Oryctolagus cuniculus: one gene and its partners. The protein of the gene in region 5 interacts with the protein of the main gene of each other region in a pairwise test. Links are inferred from orthologs where the notes say so. Each region holds a gene or a part of one and is shown on either strand. Other genes may lie near its edges.

Evidence for each region.
Region 1: the proteins of BAG3 (region 5) and ARRDC3 interact in binary tests that used the Homo sapiens proteins (3 or more experiments, as listed by UniProt). The two-hybrid records come from large-scale screens. The link is inferred for Oryctolagus cuniculus from reciprocal best matches to the Homo sapiens genes BAG3 and ARRDC3.
Region 2: the proteins of BAG3 (region 5) and ENTREP1 interact in a two-hybrid assay, tested with the Homo sapiens proteins (2 studies listed by BioGRID and IntAct). The link is inferred for Oryctolagus cuniculus from reciprocal best matches to the Homo sapiens genes BAG3 and ENTREP1.
Region 3: the proteins of BAG3 (region 5) and SF3B4 interact in binary tests that used the Homo sapiens proteins (3 or more experiments, as listed by UniProt). The two-hybrid records come from large-scale screens. The link is inferred for Oryctolagus cuniculus from reciprocal best matches to the Homo sapiens genes BAG3 and SF3B4.
Region 4: the proteins of BAG3 (region 5) and LITAF interact in binary tests that used the Homo sapiens proteins (3 or more experiments, as listed by UniProt). The two-hybrid records come from large-scale screens. The link is inferred for Oryctolagus cuniculus from reciprocal best matches to the Homo sapiens genes BAG3 and LITAF.

What each region holds. Positions count from the first base shown.
Region 1 is NC_091445.1:14,128,084-14,132,121, reverse strand, and holds the start of ARRDC3 (arrestin domain-containing protein 3), read left to right. Parts: upstream 1-1,235; 5' UTR 1,236-1,562; coding exon 1,563-1,842; intron 1,843-3,654; exon of another isoform or gene 3,655-3,735; coding exon of another isoform or gene 3,736-3,823; intron 3,824-4,038. UniProt on the Homo sapiens protein: Adapter protein that plays a role in regulating cell-surface expression of adrenergic receptors and probably also other G protein-coupled receptors.
Region 2 is NC_091432.1:161,052,865-161,056,378, forward strand, and holds part of ENTREP1 (endosomal transmembrane epsin interactor 1), read right to left. Parts: coding exon 3,468-3,514; intron 3,370-3,467; coding exon 3,236-3,369; intron 1-3,235. UniProt on the Homo sapiens protein: Functions as an activator of the E3 ubiquitin protein ligase ITCH in the ubiquitination of the CXCL12-activated CXCR4 receptor. Thereby, triggers CXCR4 endocytosis and desensitization, negatively regulating the CXCL12/CXCR4 signaling pathway.
Region 3 is NC_091438.1:48,030,197-48,033,081, reverse strand, and holds the end of SF3B4 (splicing factor 3B subunit 4), read right to left. Parts: intron 1,247-2,885; coding exon 1,073-1,246; intron 885-1,072; coding exon 697-884; 3' UTR 505-696; downstream 1-504. UniProt on the Homo sapiens protein: Component of the 17S U2 SnRNP complex of the spliceosome, a large ribonucleoprotein complex that removes introns from transcribed pre-mRNAs.
Region 4 is NC_091450.1:25,061,936-25,066,161, reverse strand, and holds the start of LITAF (lipopolysaccharide-induced tumor necrosis factor-alpha factor), read right to left. Parts: upstream 2,814-4,226; 5' UTR 2,661-2,813; intron 1,831-2,660; 5' UTR 1,681-1,830; intron 1-1,680.
Region 5 is NC_091446.1:11,052,110-11,055,623, forward strand, and holds part of BAG3 (BAG family molecular chaperone regulator 3), read right to left. Parts: intron 838-3,514; coding exon 508-837; intron 1-507. UniProt on the Homo sapiens protein: Co-chaperone and adapter protein that connects different classes of molecular chaperones including heat shock proteins 70 (HSP70s), e.g. HSPA1A/HSP70 or HSPA8/HSC70, and small heat shock proteins (sHSPs), e.g. HSPB8.

The DNA of each region.
Region 1 (4,038 bases), on a different chromosome or scaffold from region 5:
TGACTCCCGGGCTCCATCTACCCAAACATACTACGCAGAAGAATCTAAAACGTATGGACACAGCCGTAGCCAAAAACCTTCCCAAGAATTCCTGGTTACGTATATGTGGCTTCAGATTCCCATCTTTTTCTGTCTTTCTATAGCTCTCCTGACAGCAGCTCTGCGGAGGCCAGTAATCTACACGAGTTTGTGCTGTTACACTCTGCATCCCAGTGGGGCGTGACGCAGGCTCTGCTATTTCTTACCGAAACACTCACAATCAAAAAAGACAAATGTACCTATTAGGATGCACGGGAATGACTAGGCTGAACAGTCCAGCGGACAACCGCGGCTCCGCAGAATCCGCATCCTCACTGATGCTAAGAATTATGCTTTCCACACGCTGCATCTCGCTCCTTCAAACCATCGCTCGCGCTCCAGCAACTCCCCACCAAGGCTGTGCGCCGAGCCGCCACCGTGCCACCTGCCTTCTGCAAGGTGGCACTGTGGACGCGAGGGCTGCAGCCGCGCACCCTGCACCCTGACTCCGGCCACGGCTGGCGTCCCTAACAAGGACCTCGGCTTCCTCGGGGGAAGCGGGCCGCCTGCCCCCAACGTCGCCAGCGACTCGCTCGGGGTAGCCGGAGCCGGCACAGCCCCCCGAGGGGACGGGACCTACGCCTCTTCCTCGCTGCCTTAGGGCGTCCGCTCCGCAGGCCCCCTTTTGGCCTCCAGGGAGCTCACTTCCACCCCGTCTACAGCCATCTACGGACGCGCATAAAATCCACGCCGAGACTGCTCTCGTCTGTGACCACGATTCCTGGCCCGGTTTTCAGGACTTTTTTTTTTTTTCCTCCCGAAAGTCGTTAGCTCAGGCTCAGCCACCCAGCCGCTGGCCCGACCGGTTTCTCCCCCTTCCTCCTCCTCCCAGGCAGGCGGCGGGCGAATCCGCGCAGCGCCGCTAACGCGTGCGCCGGCCCGGCCGCCCCTCCACGCGGCCCGCGGTCCCTCAGCGCCCCGCCGGCGGTCGCTCTGTCAGAGGCCGCCCGGCCAGCGGCTCCGGGGAGCACGCCGGGGCTTTCCGGCAGCCCGCCCGCCAATGGGAGCCCACAATGCAGCGAAGTCCGGCCGGGCCTCCCGGCAGCGCCCGTGCCGGCTTCCCCGGCTCCACGCCTACTGTACCCGCGCGCGTGCCCGGCGAGGGCGCGAGCGCGGCGCGGCGCGGCGCGGCGGGGGCGCGCGCCCGGGGGGCCGGCGGCCGCGGCGGCGTGCGCGTGCGCACTGGGGTTGTTTTTCACAAAGCTGCTCTTAAAGTGAGCTGGCAGGCTCCGGCCGCCCGTCTTTGTAAGGAGACCACTGAGACGGGCGGGCGCGCGGAGCCGCCGCCGCAGCCTCTCTGCTGCCCTGACTTTTAAGAGCTCTCAATGAACTGTCTGTAAGGAGCTACTGATCCTGCCTGCAAGGGTTTGCATTTTTGCACGGCAGAAGCATCGATCAGTGTTGAGTGAAGATCCCATTTTATATGCGATCTTGACTTTTTTGGGGGTCTTACATTATATTTTTTATAGATTTTTGTTATCAACATGGTGCTGGGGAAGGTGAAGAATTTGACAATAAGCTTCGACTGTCTGAATGACAGCAATGTCCCCGTGTATTCCAGCGGGGATACTGTCTCAGGAAGGGTGAATTTAGAAGTTACTGGGGAAATCAGAGTAAAATCGCTTAAAATTCATGCAAGAGGACATGCGAAAGTACGCTGGACGGAGTCTAGAAACGCCGGCTCCAATACTGCCTACACGCAGAACTACACCGAAGAAGTAGAATACTTCAACCATAAAGACATCTTAATTGGGCACGAAAGAGGTAAGTTTTCCTACCATTCGGCAGTCTGCAGGCTGGCTTTCTCGGGTGGACGTGGTTCTCGCAGCGTAGCTCGGCCGTTTGCTGGAGGCTAGCAAAGTTGCGAGGTTTGGGTTCTCCTTGACGGGAGGCTGTAATGCGTGCCGGCATCTGCAAAGCGACTGCAAACTGCACCTCGTCTCCACCACCCCTGGACCCGGCTCGGGCTGTGCCATACGCACTTGCGGTCCATTTGCACCTCACTCGGAAATTCTGCTTGCCTCCGAGTCCATGATTTTACTGCTACGTTTTCAAATGAATTGATGAAAGCTGCGGTCCGGCATCAGATTTTTAAAATTTTTTCCTTTTTCTTTGCAACCTTAGCTCAAAACCTGAGCTTGAAGGAAGGAATGAAATAACATTTTAGGAGGGTTAGTAGATGTGTTTCCTTTTAATATTAACGTGCAAAGGACTTTATAAGGAATTGATCATTGTTCTTTGAGAGAGGGTTTCCCTGGCTTATTTTGACATATGGTATTACCAACACCCCACGTGTTTTTTTTTTTTTTTAACCTCTTCTTTCCAATGCTTTGGGAATTTTGCATCAAGCATTCCTTATTTTAAAAGACAGTATCTATCACCGTGGCCGGTGTTCAGTCAGGTTCAGAAGCCATTCAGGGCCAGCAGTTTCTTCTCCAAGCATCATGTCTAACTTTGGAACGTGCATTCAATGAAACCCTGCCAGTCCAATGGAATTGAAAAGTAGACCGCACACTGGACTTGATTTTTGGTTAGAAGGGGGAGATGGAGGGTTGTCAAAGGGAGAGGGGGTCCTGAGATTTCCCCTCTATTGTTTAGATGGCTACATTGTGGAAATATAGGAGACTCTAAGCTTGTTTTTCTAAGTTTCCACCCTTTGTTAGAAGCGGTTCAATCCTGTTTCGGACCAGTTCTGGGGGGTGGTGAGGAGGGGCGCTTGTGCAGCTCTCAGCAGATTGGTTACACGCGTCAGGTGGTGGCGATGACTTAATTCTAGCCCAAGAAGAATATAATGTTAAAACTGGTTATGTAATTTTGTGCTTCTCCTTTTTAATGCAGTATTTAGTGCAAATGCTGACTTTTTCAGAAAGAGGCTCGCTTTTATCTGCGTTTTTATATTCAAGATATACATCCCAGGGAAATGCTAATTGAATTAAGGGAAGGGAGAAATAAAGGAAGCGTTGAGTTACAGCATTATTGCATTTTTTTTTTAAATGCTCAGGTGAAATCAGTTCTTCGGCAGGGTTTCCACAGTTCACCTAGGTGGTTTTGCATCTTGAAGTAATTTCTAGTTCATCTTCCCAAGCGTTAACTCTGATAGGAAATGCAAAGCGCCTGATGACAGTTCTGCTGTGTGCTGCAAAGCGCACACGCGAGTTTGATTTCGAGCCTTTTATAAAATGAGAAGAAACAAAAGGTTTTTCTCTCAAGAGTTGAGCCTTGCAGTGAAGGGAAAGTAGAACAATGCGTTGGGGCGGAAAGCAAGGTCGTTAGCTGCACCTCGACTTCGTGGTGAGGAAAACCGAACGCCCCGCACCCAGCCGGGCGCCCCCCGAAGCCGGCCACGCGTGGACGAGCTTCTGCCTGGAGTAGTTTCAATGACTTTAGCTGAGAGCTCTCACACGAGCCTGGCAGCGGAGGCCCCGCCCCGGGCGGCCGGCGAGGGGCGGGGCCAGGTTTGTTAGCCTGTTGCTAAGGCGATGCCGGGCGCTGATTGGATTGGGCCGGCGCGGGTGGGGAGAGTGGGCTCCGGCCGGCTGGGGCGCGGCTTGGAACCGGCGTGCGCCGGTAAAGGTCCCTCCCGAGCGGCCGCCCCCGCCCGCGCTCGCGCGAGTGCGTTCCCGGGCTTCCGTGGGCTCCCGGGGCCCGCGTCGCGGCATGCCCTGCTGCTGTCCCTCTCTCCGGCCTGTTGGGGCCACGAGGGGGACGCCTCGTACGGGGCGCCAGCCGCTGCCGGCTTTCACAGGTGCAGAGTCGCCCTGGGCGCAACTTTTGGCCAGAGACCCTCGTAGAGGGGGCTGGCGTGAGGAGAGCGAGCGGGACCCCCGAGGTCGCGGGCGACGTGTCGGAGTGGCTCCCTTTCCTCTCGGCTGCCACAGACATGTGCCGACTGTCCAGTCAGCAGTCTGGCTACCTTGACGTGACCTGAGGGGGAGTCTGGCACTGGCTGGCCAGGGCAAA
Region 2 (3,514 bases), on a different chromosome or scaffold from region 5:
CCCAAGTGCTTGGGCCCTGCACCCACATGGGAGACCAGGAGGAAGCACCTGGCTCCTGGCCTCGGATCGGCGTAGCTCCGGCCATAGTGGCCATCTGGGGGGTGAACCAACAGAAGGAAGACCTTTCTCTCTGTCTCTCTCTCTCACTGTCTATAACTCTACCTGTCAAATTAAAAAAAAAAAAAAGACAATGGGCCATGGTGGCTGCAGTTGAGCCCTGTTCCATCTGGGACAGTTGCTCAGATTTTTTTTTTTTATAGTAATGAAGTCTTTAAAATTCTGCTGCCTGGTAAGATAAGGGCAAATATTCCTGAGAGAAGTAGGCACACCAAGAGCATGTGGAATCGTGAACCAGTGATGGGGGAGCATGGTTGCAAGGATCTGAATGTGTCCCCCTGACTCACGTGTAGGAAACCTAATCCCCATGCAACTACGTCGGGAGGTAGAGTTTTCAGCAGGAGTTTAGGTCACGTGGCTCTGCCCTGACGAATGGGTTAAGGCCATGTGAACAGGGCTCCAGGGAGCAGGTTCTCCTTTGATCTCCGGCCGCAGGAGCACACAACGCTCCTTCCCTCTGGGGGACTCAGCCATCAGGCACCACCGCCTTGGAAAACCCAATATTGGCACCTTGACCTTGAACTTGACCTTGAACTTCTCAGTCTCCAGAACTGGGATGAATAAGTTTCTGTTCTTGGTAAATTACCCAAGCTGTGGCACCCTGCTACAGCAGGACAAATGGACTAAGACAATGGTCTAAGCTTTTATCAGTAAAAGGTTCTGTATGTCCATTATCTTGTAACAATGTTCCCAGCAGTCATGTCACAACCAGGTGAATGGGGAGACAGGCACAGAAATGGTAAGAAACCTGCCCAAGGAGACCCCAGAGCCTAGGCTCTCTCAACCAAGTCTCCAGGAAGCCTTTGCTGGTTTTGCTGGCTTCTCTGCTGTACCCGGGCCGGAGGCACACGGAGACACAGTTGCTGCCTTTTGGATTCCTGGCACGGGCCAATTTCTTAGACCCGGGGCCACCCTGGAGTAGTGGAGGGGGTGAGGGCCGCCCCGTCCTGGGCTTACAAAGGAGAGAAGCCTCTGCTGCAATCAGACTTCTGTTTCTGACAGTAACTTGAGAAGCCCTTCCTCAAGGAGATACCCATGCTAGGAGCGGCTGTATTTATAGAAGTTCAATAAATAAACCTCTTCTGGGAGGTCAGGGTAGCTCACAGGAAATGCAGAGCCTCTGCCTATGAAAACTCAATGGCAACTATGGGTGAAAGCAGTAGGAAGACGTTCGCCTAGCCACCCACCAACTGGTGTTCACGGCCAGTGGCTGTAAGGTCAACTTGTCGTGAGGCTGGCCAAGGCGGTCCAATCTAGAAACATCTTAATGGACTATGCATCCAAAGTGAGTAAGCGTAGCTCTCTGAAGAAGGAAGGTGGGCTGCACCCTAACACTATGGGGTGCTCGCTCCTGGGGCTCCAGGCTGGCGCCACAGACCCGGCACAGGGGCGTTTTGCGGGCACCCCCGCCCCTTGCCTGCCTTCTGGAGAGATCTAGGTAGAAAAGGTTTGTCTGCTGTCGCCCAGGGGCTGTCCCAGGGCTCACCGGGACGAACCCCAGGAGGCACCCAGGTCCTCTGAGAGTGGAGCGAGCCACGGAAAGAGCAGGATTCCGGTGGAGCAGCGAAGAGAACAGAAAGAGAGGAGAAAGCAAGGTCAGGGAGTGTGCGCGATGGGCTGCGCTCCGAAACCCACATGAGTCACTTTCCCTTTCTGCGGCAGCAGGAAACGGAATCTGGGCCTCCTCTGAGGTCAACCAGATGCCCAGCCACAGCCTCAGCGAGCCAAGGAGTTCAGTGTGAAGAGGGTGTTTCTCTCCCCAACAACAACCTACCGGCCAGTCTGGGACACCCTCTGCAGGCCGCACAAGGTGCAGAGAGGAGAGGCAGGTCTCCTTGAAGTCTCCTTGGCCTCCCTAACCCTTGGCTGGTTTCCTGAAACACCAGGGAGCCCTCCTGGCCCCAGAAGCTCTGGGATTCCAGGAGGTCCCTCCCTGCACGACAGAGAGGCTGAGCTGTCCCATGGGCCTGCCCTGTGCCATCTGTCCCCCCAGCTGAGTCAGCTGAGCATCCTCGGGCTCCTGCCTGGGCTGGAGGGCAGGGAGGGGATGCAGCAGGGGGAACGGGGTGGGGGGGCTCCTGTTGACTCGAGAGACAGGTGGAAGGAATGCTAATGGCATCTGGGTGAGTTCCATCTCCAAGTCACACACACCTGCCCCAAACTCAGGAAAACTGCTCCCCAAAGCCCTCAACTGGCACCAAACAGGGACAAAAAAACAGACATCTCTGGCCCTCTCAGTAAAAGATGCTAGTCTCTCTGTGGAACTCAGAGATTTTCTTTTGGAAGCTCAAATATAAGACTGCTCACCCTTGACACTCAGCTTATTGTCACTTCTTACAGGAAGTCATCCCTGACTGACTGACACACCTCACTAGTTCAGTTTAGGGAGACCTCCTCTCTGCACCCAGAATCCCTCTTTTGAGCGCTTCCCTGATCCTTCCCGGATCAAGCCGGTGTGCTTCCTCTTCGGAGGGGAGGAAGCAGGTCTAACTTTGAATTTCAATGACCCAGCACAGCCAGCAGGAAGCAGCAGAGGAGTGATGATGTCTGTTGCATGAATAAATGAAGTCACACTTTAGAGAGCTTTGATTCCAGATGTCACCAACGACCAGATGAACTCCTGTGATAGTTCATTCTACAAATACTACTTCCTCAGATGTAAGAAACCAATGCTGAGCTAGAATTTGAAAAAGAAAATAAGCACGGTGCCTATTTTTCCTCACCGAGGAAGATGGAATGAATAATTAATCATTTCTTAATGGCTGGGAAGAATGTCAGGACTGCTCAGAGCTGCCGACAGTGTTATAATGAAACATCGATTTGGCCTGATGGGGAGCGTTTCCAGGGCAACAGCGACTCTCAATCATGTCAAATTACAGCCCTTATCTCCCCGGGTGTCGCTTTTCCCTAAGTAGCTAACTGAAAGTGGAAAAGCCTATCTTTAGGTCAAGGTTTGACTTCTCTTGGATTCATCTGCTTTATCAGACAAAAGAGAGAATGAGGCAAAGAGGGCAGCAAACCCTGGAAAACCACCCCCTCCATTGCAGATGTCCCGGAACGCTCAGGGCTTGGGCTTGGAGAGCACCCCCAGGGGCACTGGGGGAGGGTCGGTGGATACCTGCGGCTCAGCCGAGGAGTACACGAGTAAAATGTAGCAAAATAGGACGGCGGAGGCACCGGCGGCACGAAGTCGTCGGGGTCTGGGATCCGCCCGTGTTCTTCCAGCTCCTCTGCGGAAATCTGGGCTTCATCCTGATCACAAAGCACCCGGTTAGTCCCCAGCGCTCACCGCCCAGAAGAGCACTGGGCGCCACCCAGGGGCCCACCTCAGACCCCCCGCGGGGACTCACGATGCAGGATCTCCGGGTGGCGAAGATCTGGAGGTAGCGTAGGGCGG
Region 3 (2,885 bases), on a different chromosome or scaffold from region 5:
AGAGCAGCTGGAATTCCGAGCCAAGAACCTGCAGCCCCAAGTGCTCTCCTCCTTTACCTCGATGTTTCCAATGGTTCTGTACCTCACTGTGGAGGAGTTGAAAAGCTATGATCCGAACCAGCTCCGACCTCAGCCTGCCTCCAACACCAGGCAGTGTTGTTATTTGTCAAACCAGATGGATATGTGAGGTGTTACCAATCTCCTCTTACCACAAAGAGAGTTACAATGAACAGCTTTGTGCATTCTACTTGCTATTTATGCCAGCCTATCTCTAGGCATCTTACTTCTTTTCTCATCTTACTATAATACTCTTATGTTCGAGATACTGGGACCCCATGGGATAAACTAGAGATAAGCTCTATGCAAGGAAATAGCCACTCCAGGGCACCTCAGAGACCAGCTATTCCAACGGCACATCACAGAATCCTTACCATTTCTCTCACAAGACCCGACACTTCTTGGAGAAAAAGAGAAAAGTTACTTTGCCAAGGATAACACCACAAAGAATAAACAAGTACAGTTTTATTTTCCATGTGCATTTGCAAAACACTTAGGACCAACATAAAAAAGGAAAAATCTTGTGGGGAAAAATTACATTAAAAATGGAGAGCTCAGAGAAGCTAGCTACAGCAACTCTGATTGGTCCAAGGAATCGAAAAAACTTCAGCTGAAAATAATAGGAAGGAGAATTGGAGTTTATTGAGGAAGAGGGCCCCGAAGTGGGCCTCGAGGGGGAACTGGAGGCCGGGGAGTGGGTCTGGGTGGAGGAAGGGGGCCCCGCTGGTAGCCATAGGGCGGGGGCCGTGGAGGACCAGTGTACCCATGAGGCGGCATCAGTGGAGGGGGTCCTCGCATACCATGTGGAGGCATAGGGCCTGGGTGACCTGCAAAAAGGGAAACAGAAATTAGTAGCAGTGAGTTACAGGAGACAGTTGATGTTGGAAGACCTGTGGGAAGAGGAAAAAGTGACTTAAAGAAACGTGAGAAAGAAAAGAACAGGCATGGGAAAGCTGACAAAGAAAGCTGTGAGAATGATACATATGCAGACAGGAGGAGGCTACAGCCCACTCACCCATGGGAGATCCAAACGGAGGTCCTCTGGGGGGCATGCCCATTGGAGGAGGTCCAGGATGAGGCATTCCAGGAGGTGGGCGTGGTGGTGGCTGTCCCCCAGAGCCTGGGGGCCCAGCATGGGGGTGTCCTAAGCCATGAGGGCCATGGTGGGCCAGCTGCATCTGAGACATCCCTGTGAAAATAAGAGACAAGGGGAAAATCAGGAAGAGAACAAAGATGGAGAAGAGAGCAACATGAGAAAGAAAATGACATCAGGAAGAGAAGGGGCTAGAAAATCCAAGGTGCTCCTGTCCCTGCTCCCACCCCAACAGGACAAACCACCGCACGTCATGGTTCCTCAATGACCCAGGCACTGGAATAGTAATGCACAAGTGTGTAACCACTGGAGGGATTACTCCACTGACAGGACAGGCTGCCCCAACAGCCACCTAAAGGACAGAATGTTTCAGGAGGATGAGAACATGGAAACAAACTGTCCAAGGCAGAAAGGTGAGCATTTGAGAATCACAGGCGTGTCAAAGAGCACAGACGTCTCGTCTCGGCAAATACCAGTAACTCAGCAATAATCTGGAGCAGTGGCTATGGGGGTGATGGCAGGACCAGATCAGGAAACGCCCTGAAAGCCACGGTACTGAGTGTGTGGGGAAGCTTTACTCTGCAGGTAGAAGGGCACAACAGAATTTTGAGAAAGGGTATCTGAATACCTGGCGGAAAAACATCTGGGAAAATAGATTCAGGACAACACTGTAATCAAAGTGGCAAGAGATCAGCACAGTTAAGTGTGAAATAACAAGGGACTAAGAGCTTGCACTAGGGCACTGGCAGGGGAGGCAGATACCACAAGTCTAAGAGTTCGTATGACAAGTGAGGCGAGGGCGCAGTGCTGTGGCACAGCAGGTTAAGTGCTGTCTACAATGCTGGCATCCTTATGGGCGCCAGTTTGAGACCCAGATGAAGCTTCTGGCTCCTGGCTTTGGCCTGGCACAGCCCAGGACGTTGCAGCCATTTGGGGAGTAAACCAGCAGATGAAGATTGATTTCTCTGTAGTTCTGCCTTTCAAATAAATAAAATTAATATTTAAAAGCAGGAAGTGAGGTGACAGGGAATAATCAAACACAGCCCTAGACTCATGAATTATGCACCTGAAAAATACGGAAGACTTATAGAATAGGTTTGAAGGGGGAGGGCCCCGCACTGTGGCACAGCAAGTCAAGCAGCTGCTGGTAACTCCAGCATCCCACATGGAGCAAAGGCTCAAGTTCTGACTGCTCCACTTCAGATCCCTGCTAGTGAGCCCGGGAAAGCTGCAGACGATGGTCCAAGTACTTGGGTCCTTGCTCACCCACATGGGAGACACAAATGGAGTTCCTGGCTCCTGGTTTTGGCCTGATCCAGCCCTGGCCATTGCAGCCATTTGAACTAGTAGATGGAAGCTCTCTTTCTCTGTCTCATCTTCTTTGTAACTCTGCCTTTCAAATAAATAATTACATAAAGAAATTTTTTTTGAACGGAAGAGACAGAGTGCCCAGTCGCTGAAACTGGGGGAGAGCGAGGTTACAAGGTTGAAAAGAGAGAATTACACCTGGGCAGGCCAGGAGGGCGGCTCAGTAGAGAGGCAAAGGTGAGCGCACAATCCATTTGGACTCCCTAGGTTTTTTTTGTTTTTTTTTTTCTTTTTTTTCTTTTTATTCACAGAGAGAAAAGAGGCAGAGAAAGAGAAAGGTCTTCCATCTGATGGTTCACTCCTCAATAGGCTGCAATGGCCAGAGCTGTGCCGATCCGAAGCCAGGAGCCAGGAGCCTCCTCCGGGT
Region 4 (4,226 bases), on a different chromosome or scaffold from region 5:
AAGCCCTGGCCTGAAATGCCGGCATCCTATATGGGCGCCGGTTTGAGTCCCTGCTGCTCCACTTCCCATCCGGCTCTCTGCTGTGGCCTGAGAAAGCAGTGGAAGATGGCCCAAGGCCTTGGGTCCCTGCACCTGCGTGGGAGACCCGGAAGAAACTCCTGGCTCCTGGCTTTGGATCGGTGCAGCTCCGGCTGTTGCGGCCATTTGGGGAGTGAACCAGTGGATGGAAGACCTCTCTCTCTCTCTCTGTAACTCTTTCAAATAAATAAATAAATCTTTAAAAAAAAAAAAAAAGGCAACACTTGCCATGAACAGGAGAAAACCGACGCACAAGCGCGCCAAATACAACGCCGGGACACTCTGGCTCCACAGCGCAGTCCTGGAGCCAGGAGGGCTGAGCCAGCCTGGGGAGCCGTGACAGCCACGTTAGCTGGGAGCGAGGTGGGAGGGGCTACCCCCTGGAAAGAGCAGGGCGGGGCCTCCCACCGGCCCCTGCTCAGCGCGTGCTCCTCGCCCTTCAGGGGGTTCCTCTCTGGCCCCAGGGTTCCTTTTGCTTTTAGGCCTGGAAATCCCTGGAGCAGATGCCTGGGGGCTGTGGCTGGGCTGCAGGGGGCTCCCCTAAGGCTGCCTGCGTCTGCTTCACCCCCCTCCCCCCACAAGCCCCTCCAGCACTGGGAGGGGGGGGAGTGGGCACAGGGCCAGGCTGGCACAGGGCAGGGCCGACTGGGCCCCGGCAGGCCCGAGGGAGCAGGGGTGAGCTCATCCCCCGCCCTTAATTATCGTCTTGGCTAATGAGCAGCTGGGAACCTGCAGCCCGGCCCACAGGGAGGACCCTGGGGACCCTGGGCCAGATGTCACCCGGAGGCACCGGGAGGAAACTGCTCTGGGGGAAGGGACTTACACTTCCTGCCTCCTCCCAGCCAGGGATGACAGCGGGGCCGGGGCCGGGGCAGGCAGGACACTGGAGGGGCTCCAACCCCGGGCTGGGCACTGCTGTTCTGTGGCCTTCAGCAAACGACTCGGGCCCTCGCTGTGTTAAGTGTGGGGAACACTGCCCCGCCCTGGCCCCGCCTGGGGTGCTCGTGAGACCTGCAGACCACAGCCAGGGTCTGCTCTACGGCACCCTCCCCGGGTGCACACGCACCCTGGGGTGCCTCGGCTCCTCTTCCGTAGAATGGGTGTGAAATGTCTGTCCAGTTCCCAGCAAATGCCACCGGTACAATTCACAGTAACTTAGCATTACTGGAACATTCTAGACAAGAGGGGCTCAGAGGGCTGCTGCAGGTCCCCCATCCTCAGCCCACCCCCGAGGTGGGTTTCATGAGACCCACCCTGAAGACGAGGCACCCAAGGCTCTGGGGGTGCAGCAACGTGCCGGGGAAGTTCAAGTTCACGGCCCAACCCGTTCAACCCTAGCACTGACGGCACCAGCGAGTGGCCAGGAGGCCGTCCTCTGTGCCAAGCACTCGATGTGCTCACACCAGAGAAAACAGCACAGAGAGGTCAGGCTGCTTTTCCAAAGCCACACAGCATAAACGGCTGGACTCGAACCCTGGCAGTCTGCCAACTTCCATTACCACTTTCCCCCGAGAATCTGTTCCCCCAAGTGTCCCTGCCTGCCTGGCATCGCGACGCCAGCTCTGGCTCTGGGGTTCCAAGCCTGCCCTGCCCAGCTCTTACCACTAATGATGCTCTGCTGGCTGGAGGCTGGGACCGCAAAGGCCGCTGGAACTGGCTTTGTGGGAAGAACCTGTTTCCTGCCACTCTGGACTCCCAGGTGTGACGGACAGCCAGAGCACAGGGCAGCCAGCCTGTGTGCCTGGCGCTCCTCTGCAGAAAAGACAGAGAATGGAGCAGACCCAACCCAGGGAAAAGCTCATCACCACCCCCAACTCCCAAGGCCCTCCCTTGCTCTGCCCCCCAAATGTTTAATTTCACAAGGGGCAGGAGAGATGGGGAGGTGGGGCGGGGGGGGGGGGTTAGGAAAGCCCCTGCCAAGGAAGGGCCATTCAAGCTGAGATCAATGAAGTGGAGAAGTGGCACGGGCAGGAGCAAGTGGCATGGCAAAGGCACTGGGGCAGGAACAGCCTGGTGCTCTGACGGCGCGGGAGGAGAGCCCAGGCCGTGCAGGAGGGAGCCAGGGATGCCCGACGCCCTGGCCTGCAAGCTTCTGCCAGAGACAGGCAAAGAAGCTACCGGCGGACAAGCCGTCCAGCTCCCAGGAGCCCCAGGTCCACCAGCCCCTCTGGGCTCACCGGCCTTGCAGCACCCACCCCTCGAACGGGCCTCACTGGCCACGGCGAGCGCCCACTTGCAGCGACCAGCTGCTATGCCCACACTAACTGGGGCCTCTCCCAGCCGGGGGCGCAGGCCTGGAACCAAACCCTGGGATCCCTCCGCACCTCGCAGCGGTAAGGTGGGCTAGCTCCGTGGGGGTCTGTCTTGAGCTAAGCGTACTCACTGGTAGGACAGGGCTGGGCATCTGGTGGGCAGGGCGCCTGCTATTACGGTCAAAATAAGCAGGATGACACACTGTCAAGGGGGTGGAACTCTCTGGCTCCCGCTGCGCTGAGGCCTCCGGGGCAGCAGGCATGTGGCCGAGGTTCGATAAACCTTACGAATGAGTAAACGACCAGCTGGCTCCAGTCCCAAGCTCTTACCTGCCGGGCGCCTCAGTTTCCCCGTCGGTAAGCGCGCGGGAAGAGGACAGCCCGTGGGGCTGGGGTGAGGCTGGCGGAGGCACGGCGCTGACGGCGCGGCCCCAACCCACCAGCGCCCCCCGCCCCGCCCGCCGTCCCGCCAGCTGCGCGGAGCCCCCGCCCACGCCGGCCGCCCCGGCCCCGGCCCCGAGCGCACGTGACTCCGCCCCGGCCCGGCCCGCCCCGCCGTCCCAGCGCAGGCGCCTATTGGCCACGCCGGAGGTCCCCGCCCCCGTCCGGGGCGGAGCCTGAGGCGCCCCGCCCGCCGCAGAGCGGGGTTCCTGCGTCCCGACGGTGCGCGGCGGCCGGACCGGGCTGGCGGGCTGGCGGGCGGAGCCGGGCCCGCGGGGCTGCTGCGGGGCGACCGGGCCGGGGCTGCGGGCTGCGCCATGGTGAGCGGGGCCGGGCGGGCTGGGCGGTGCGCCAGGCGGGGGCTTGAGGGAGGGGAAGGGGCGGCCCCGGACGGGGTGGGGGCGCGCGCGCGGGCGCGCGGGGCGGCGGTGCCCCGGGCCTGGGTGGGAGGTGGTCTTCGCGGCGAGGGAGGGGCGGCCCGGGCCGGGGCGCGGCTGGCGGGAGGGAGGGTCTGTCTGTTCCGGGGGCCGCGCCCGCGGCGGGGGCTCTTTGTCCGCTGCGCTGCGGAGAGGTCGGGACAAAGGAGGCGGCGGGGGGCGGAGGCCGCCTCGCGGGGAGCGGTGCTCCAGCCCCCTGTGCACGCCCCCCGCCCAGGCCCGGGCCGGCCTCCGGGGCTCCCTGGGACACTTCGAGGATTTTCAAAATTGCTTCCAAGGCTTGGGTCCTGGCAGCCCCCAGCGCGGTCAGGCGGATTGCGGCGACGGAATCAGGCGGGAGTCAGGGGTCCGGGCGACGTCCGGCGCCTGGCGCGCGGGTGGGGAAACTGAGGCGGGCGCGGCTCCGTCGGCGGTGACGGCGTGGCGTGGGCAGGACTGGGTCTCGTGGCCGCCGACCCCCGCCCCAAGGCGGGCCGGCTCCAGCCGCCTCCAGCTGTCGCCCCCTCCCCAGCTGTCGCCCCCCCCGGCCGAGCCCCTGCGTCCCTGGCACCGGGCTTGCTGCTCCGTGCGGCGCGGGGACGCCGGCGGCCCCGCCAGGGTTAATGAGAGGGTGCGTGGAGCGCCTGGCACCCAGCCTGCTCGCCGCCCGCGCTCGCTGGCGTATGGGTGCTTGTCATCCTGAGTCCCGAGGGCGACCGCCCTGGGGTCAGCTGGTCCCAGGCCCCTCGGGCACCGGGGAGAGGAGCTGGGGGTGGGTGGGTGAAGACTGTGACAGTTTAGGGTCACGATTGGGAGCTGGAGTTCCGGCTGCAGGCCACCTGGGTGATTGGGTCTGTGCGCACCTACTTTTGAGCTGTGTGACCTTGGGTAGCTGACTTGACTTCTCTGAGCCTTAGCGCCTCCGTCTGCCACCCGCGGGGTGGTTTGGACGTGGGAAGGAGACATCTGCCCAAGGCATTAGTGCTGGCACACGGCGACTGCGCCAACTTTTCTCCAGCTTCCCCTGTTATTCCCAGAG
Region 5 (3,514 bases):
GCAGGGTCCCTGGGCCGCGGGTTTCAGCTGAGACAGAGGAAGCCAGGTTTGAGCTATTAATGCCCTCAATCCATCAACATGCCCTGAAGTATTTGGCTTCAGGAGCGAAACCCAATCTGCTATCGACGCGTCCCTGACTCCTTGTTCTGGATTTCCTGTTTCAGCCAGTGCGAAGCCGGGAGGGCTGGGATGTGGTCTCGGTTTCCTAACAGCACAGCTCCGAGGGCTTAGGATCCACTCCTGAGCACCAAGCACCATGGACAAGCACCTCTCTGTGCTTTGGAACTAGAAAGCCCTGTGTGAAAGGGGGGCCCCAGCTTGGAGCCAGAGCCCGAGTGTCCAGTCCCAGCTCGGCAACTTCCAGCTCCGTGCACGTTCACACAACGCTGGGGCTGACGTGCGGCCAACAACCTGTCCTTGCTGGGTGACCTCCGCCGCCGCCAGCCAGGCCCAGATAGATGCCCTGCTCATTAACAGGCGCCTGGCCTAGGGCCAGGCCTCTCTTACCTCAGGTCCATGGGAGACTGGGGGCTGGGCTGCCGCAGCTGCCACCGCCTGTGCACACTGTTGTTTCTCTGGCTGCGTGGCATCCGGCACAGCCCGCAGAGGTGACTGGGACCTCTGCGGCGCAGCGGCGGCTGCCTCGGTTCGGAATCGCTGTGCCCCAGGCTGGGAATAGACGTGGAAAGTGTGCGGCTGCCGGTTCTCAGCGCCTTCGTGGAGGACGGGGATGGGAATGTAGCCTGGTCGGAGCTGGGGGTACACAGGGTGGCCCTCCCTAGCGGGCAGCAGCCTGGCACCCTCCCGCGAGGGCCCATTGGCTGAGGATGGAGTCTCCTAAAGGGAAGAAACACAGATGGGTTAGAAACTGGTAAGAAAACGCTGCGAGAAGGCAACTGTGGCATCGAGAGCGTGATCTCCCAGAGTGCTCTGCACCCCAGAGTGTCAGCTGGGACGCGCCCAGCCCCCTGCCTCTGCCACCAGCTCTACTGCTGTCTGGGGGCATCAGGAGAGAGGTGAGCCAGGGTAGCTGTGGAGCACAGCGAGTTCCCAATTCCCAAACTGACAGCAGTGAATGAGAGCAGCCGACTGTCCCCAGATCTTCAGAGATCCAGACCAGAAGGTGGGCCCTTGGAAGCAGGGTCCAGCTGCAACCACCACCAATGTATAGCAAAAAAAAATTAATAAAAGATCACCTCCTAGATTTCCAGTCCAAACACAAACACAGAACACAGTTGGGAAGTCTTTGCAGAGAAGTGGGGTGGCACAGGCGCTGCCCCTGCAGCGATATGGTCAGGAACAACCAGAAAGGCAGGGCCAGCCGGGAGGGGAAGCATCTGGGGATTCCCTGAGCTCGGCTTCCACAAGGATTCTTTGCTCAAACTTTATTTCAGATTTCAGAACCTTCTTCTCCTAGGCCCATCAGCGCATTCCCCTGTAAGATCCAGTTTTAGCAGAAGAACCCTGCTCAGTTGGTTTAGCCAGAGTGCCCCACCCTGGATATCTGATCCACTTCCTCAGCCTCCAGGGTCTGCTCACGCCACAGGCCCGGCTGCAGCAAGAATCCTGTTAGGTAGGTTTGGCCAGAATCTCTCTGACCCTGACTTCCCCTTAGTCACTTTCTGTCCAGGGCCACACCCTGCTCCGCGGCTGTAAAGCCCCCCTTGCCCACATCGGTCTCTCTGCCCCGCCCCTGCCCGTTGCAGGCTTCCTTGTGGACCTCAGCCCAGGCCCCCGAGTCAGTCTCCTCTAGCATTACAGGGCCCACTCTTGCGAGCGGCGGCTGGGGACCCCCTCTTCCGTCCTCTCTCGCAGTCTCCCTTCAGTGGCCTGGCTATTTTGGGACCCTTGAGAAGGCCGCGTTCCAGATGCTCCGCAGGGAAAGATCTTATTTCAGACAAGGCCGGTGGGTCACTGGGCACTGCCATCTCTCAGCACACAGAGGCTGTGCAATGAAGCCCTGACCCCTTGGACTAGGGCTCCTTTCACGGGGTGGGGGAAGGGCACTGATCTGTGTCATCCGTACACATCCCAGTGCACAGACCCCTGAGCCCTTCCTGTAGGAGGAGTCTTGCTGAATGGCAAGCACACGTGGGGAATCTAAGCTTGCACAGTACAAGTCCCACTGGCGCAAAATCCACCAAAAGCGAGACAGACAACAAGGGCTGCTCTGCATTCTGAGTGCAGACAACACTAACTGCAATCCCGCTGAGACCCTGCCTAGGGCGGGCGTCCAGCACACAGAAAAGGCAAGGGTGTCGCCCTGTCCTTGGGGACACAGGCAGGCAGGCAGTCTCAGATTAGAATAGCCACGTGCTCAGGGCGGCAGCATTATTTTAGCCTGCTTAACTCTCAGGTCACCCAAGAGCAGGCAGTGGGTCTGGACGTCAGATTCGGAACCCAGTTCCTGCCGTGGGACAGGCAGTAAAAGGCAGCAGGCTGGAGGTGCTGAGAAAGCTTCGGCTGCTCCGCCGAGAGCCACAACACGCCCTCCCGGAGTGCCGTCCACCCCCAGCCCACCCCCACTTCCTTCCAGCTGCAATCTCGGCCTGCACGGCCGTGCGATGTCATCTCTGCGGGCTGCCTGCAGGCTCACTGCTTCTCCCCAGACACTGCACACTCCAGAGCCCAGCAGTCAGGACGCCTTCACCACGTGCTGGTGGGTCTCTCGGGCTCACCAAACCAGCAAGGCACCCTCTCTTGCAACAAGGAGCTTAGAAGATGGGTTAAGGGTGCCTGGGGCAAATATAAAGAGGCCTGAGGTACGGGGGAGATGGGGCTTTCAAGGGTGGAACCAGCCTGGATGGGAGCCAGCAACACTGAGCCTGCAGAGCTGCAGTGAGGTTTTGTAAGACCCATGAGAAGGGACGCAGGGGCCTGCGACAAACAGGAGCTCCCCCTACATAGGCACAAGACAGTGCCTGTCAGACTGGGGGGGGGGGCAGGGGGACGGGGGCACGGCAGCGGAACCAAGGTGAAGGACAATCAACAGTGACACAAGTCAAATGGTGGTCACCCCAGAGGAGAGGACATGGCCAGACAGGGGTCTGAAAGAACCTTCTGAGGTTCTGTCTTCTGGGGGCAGGAAATGGGTGTGCTCCTGTGAAAACCTGTCCAATAATACCTTCTCTGTAGTCCCGACACTGCCACCCCCTAGAATCCTTAGCTAGGCCTGGCTGAGCTCTCGGCTCTACCTGGAGAAAGCCCCTGTGTCCAGGAAGCTGGCCTTATCTGTATCTTACTGACCATATTCTGTACCTCAACTTTAAGAGACAAGAGAGGGGCCAGACAGTGGTTAAAGCCCCAGCCTGCAGTCCCGACATCCCATATGGGAGCCAGTGTGAGTCCTGGCTGCTCCTCTTCCAATCCAGCTCTCTGCTGTGGCCTGGGAAAGCAGCAGAAGATGGCCCAAGTTCTTGGGCCTCTGCACCCACGTGGGAGACCAGGAAGAAGCTCCTGGCTCCTGGCTTTGGATCAGCTCAACTCTGGCCGTTGCGGTAATTTGGGGAGTGAA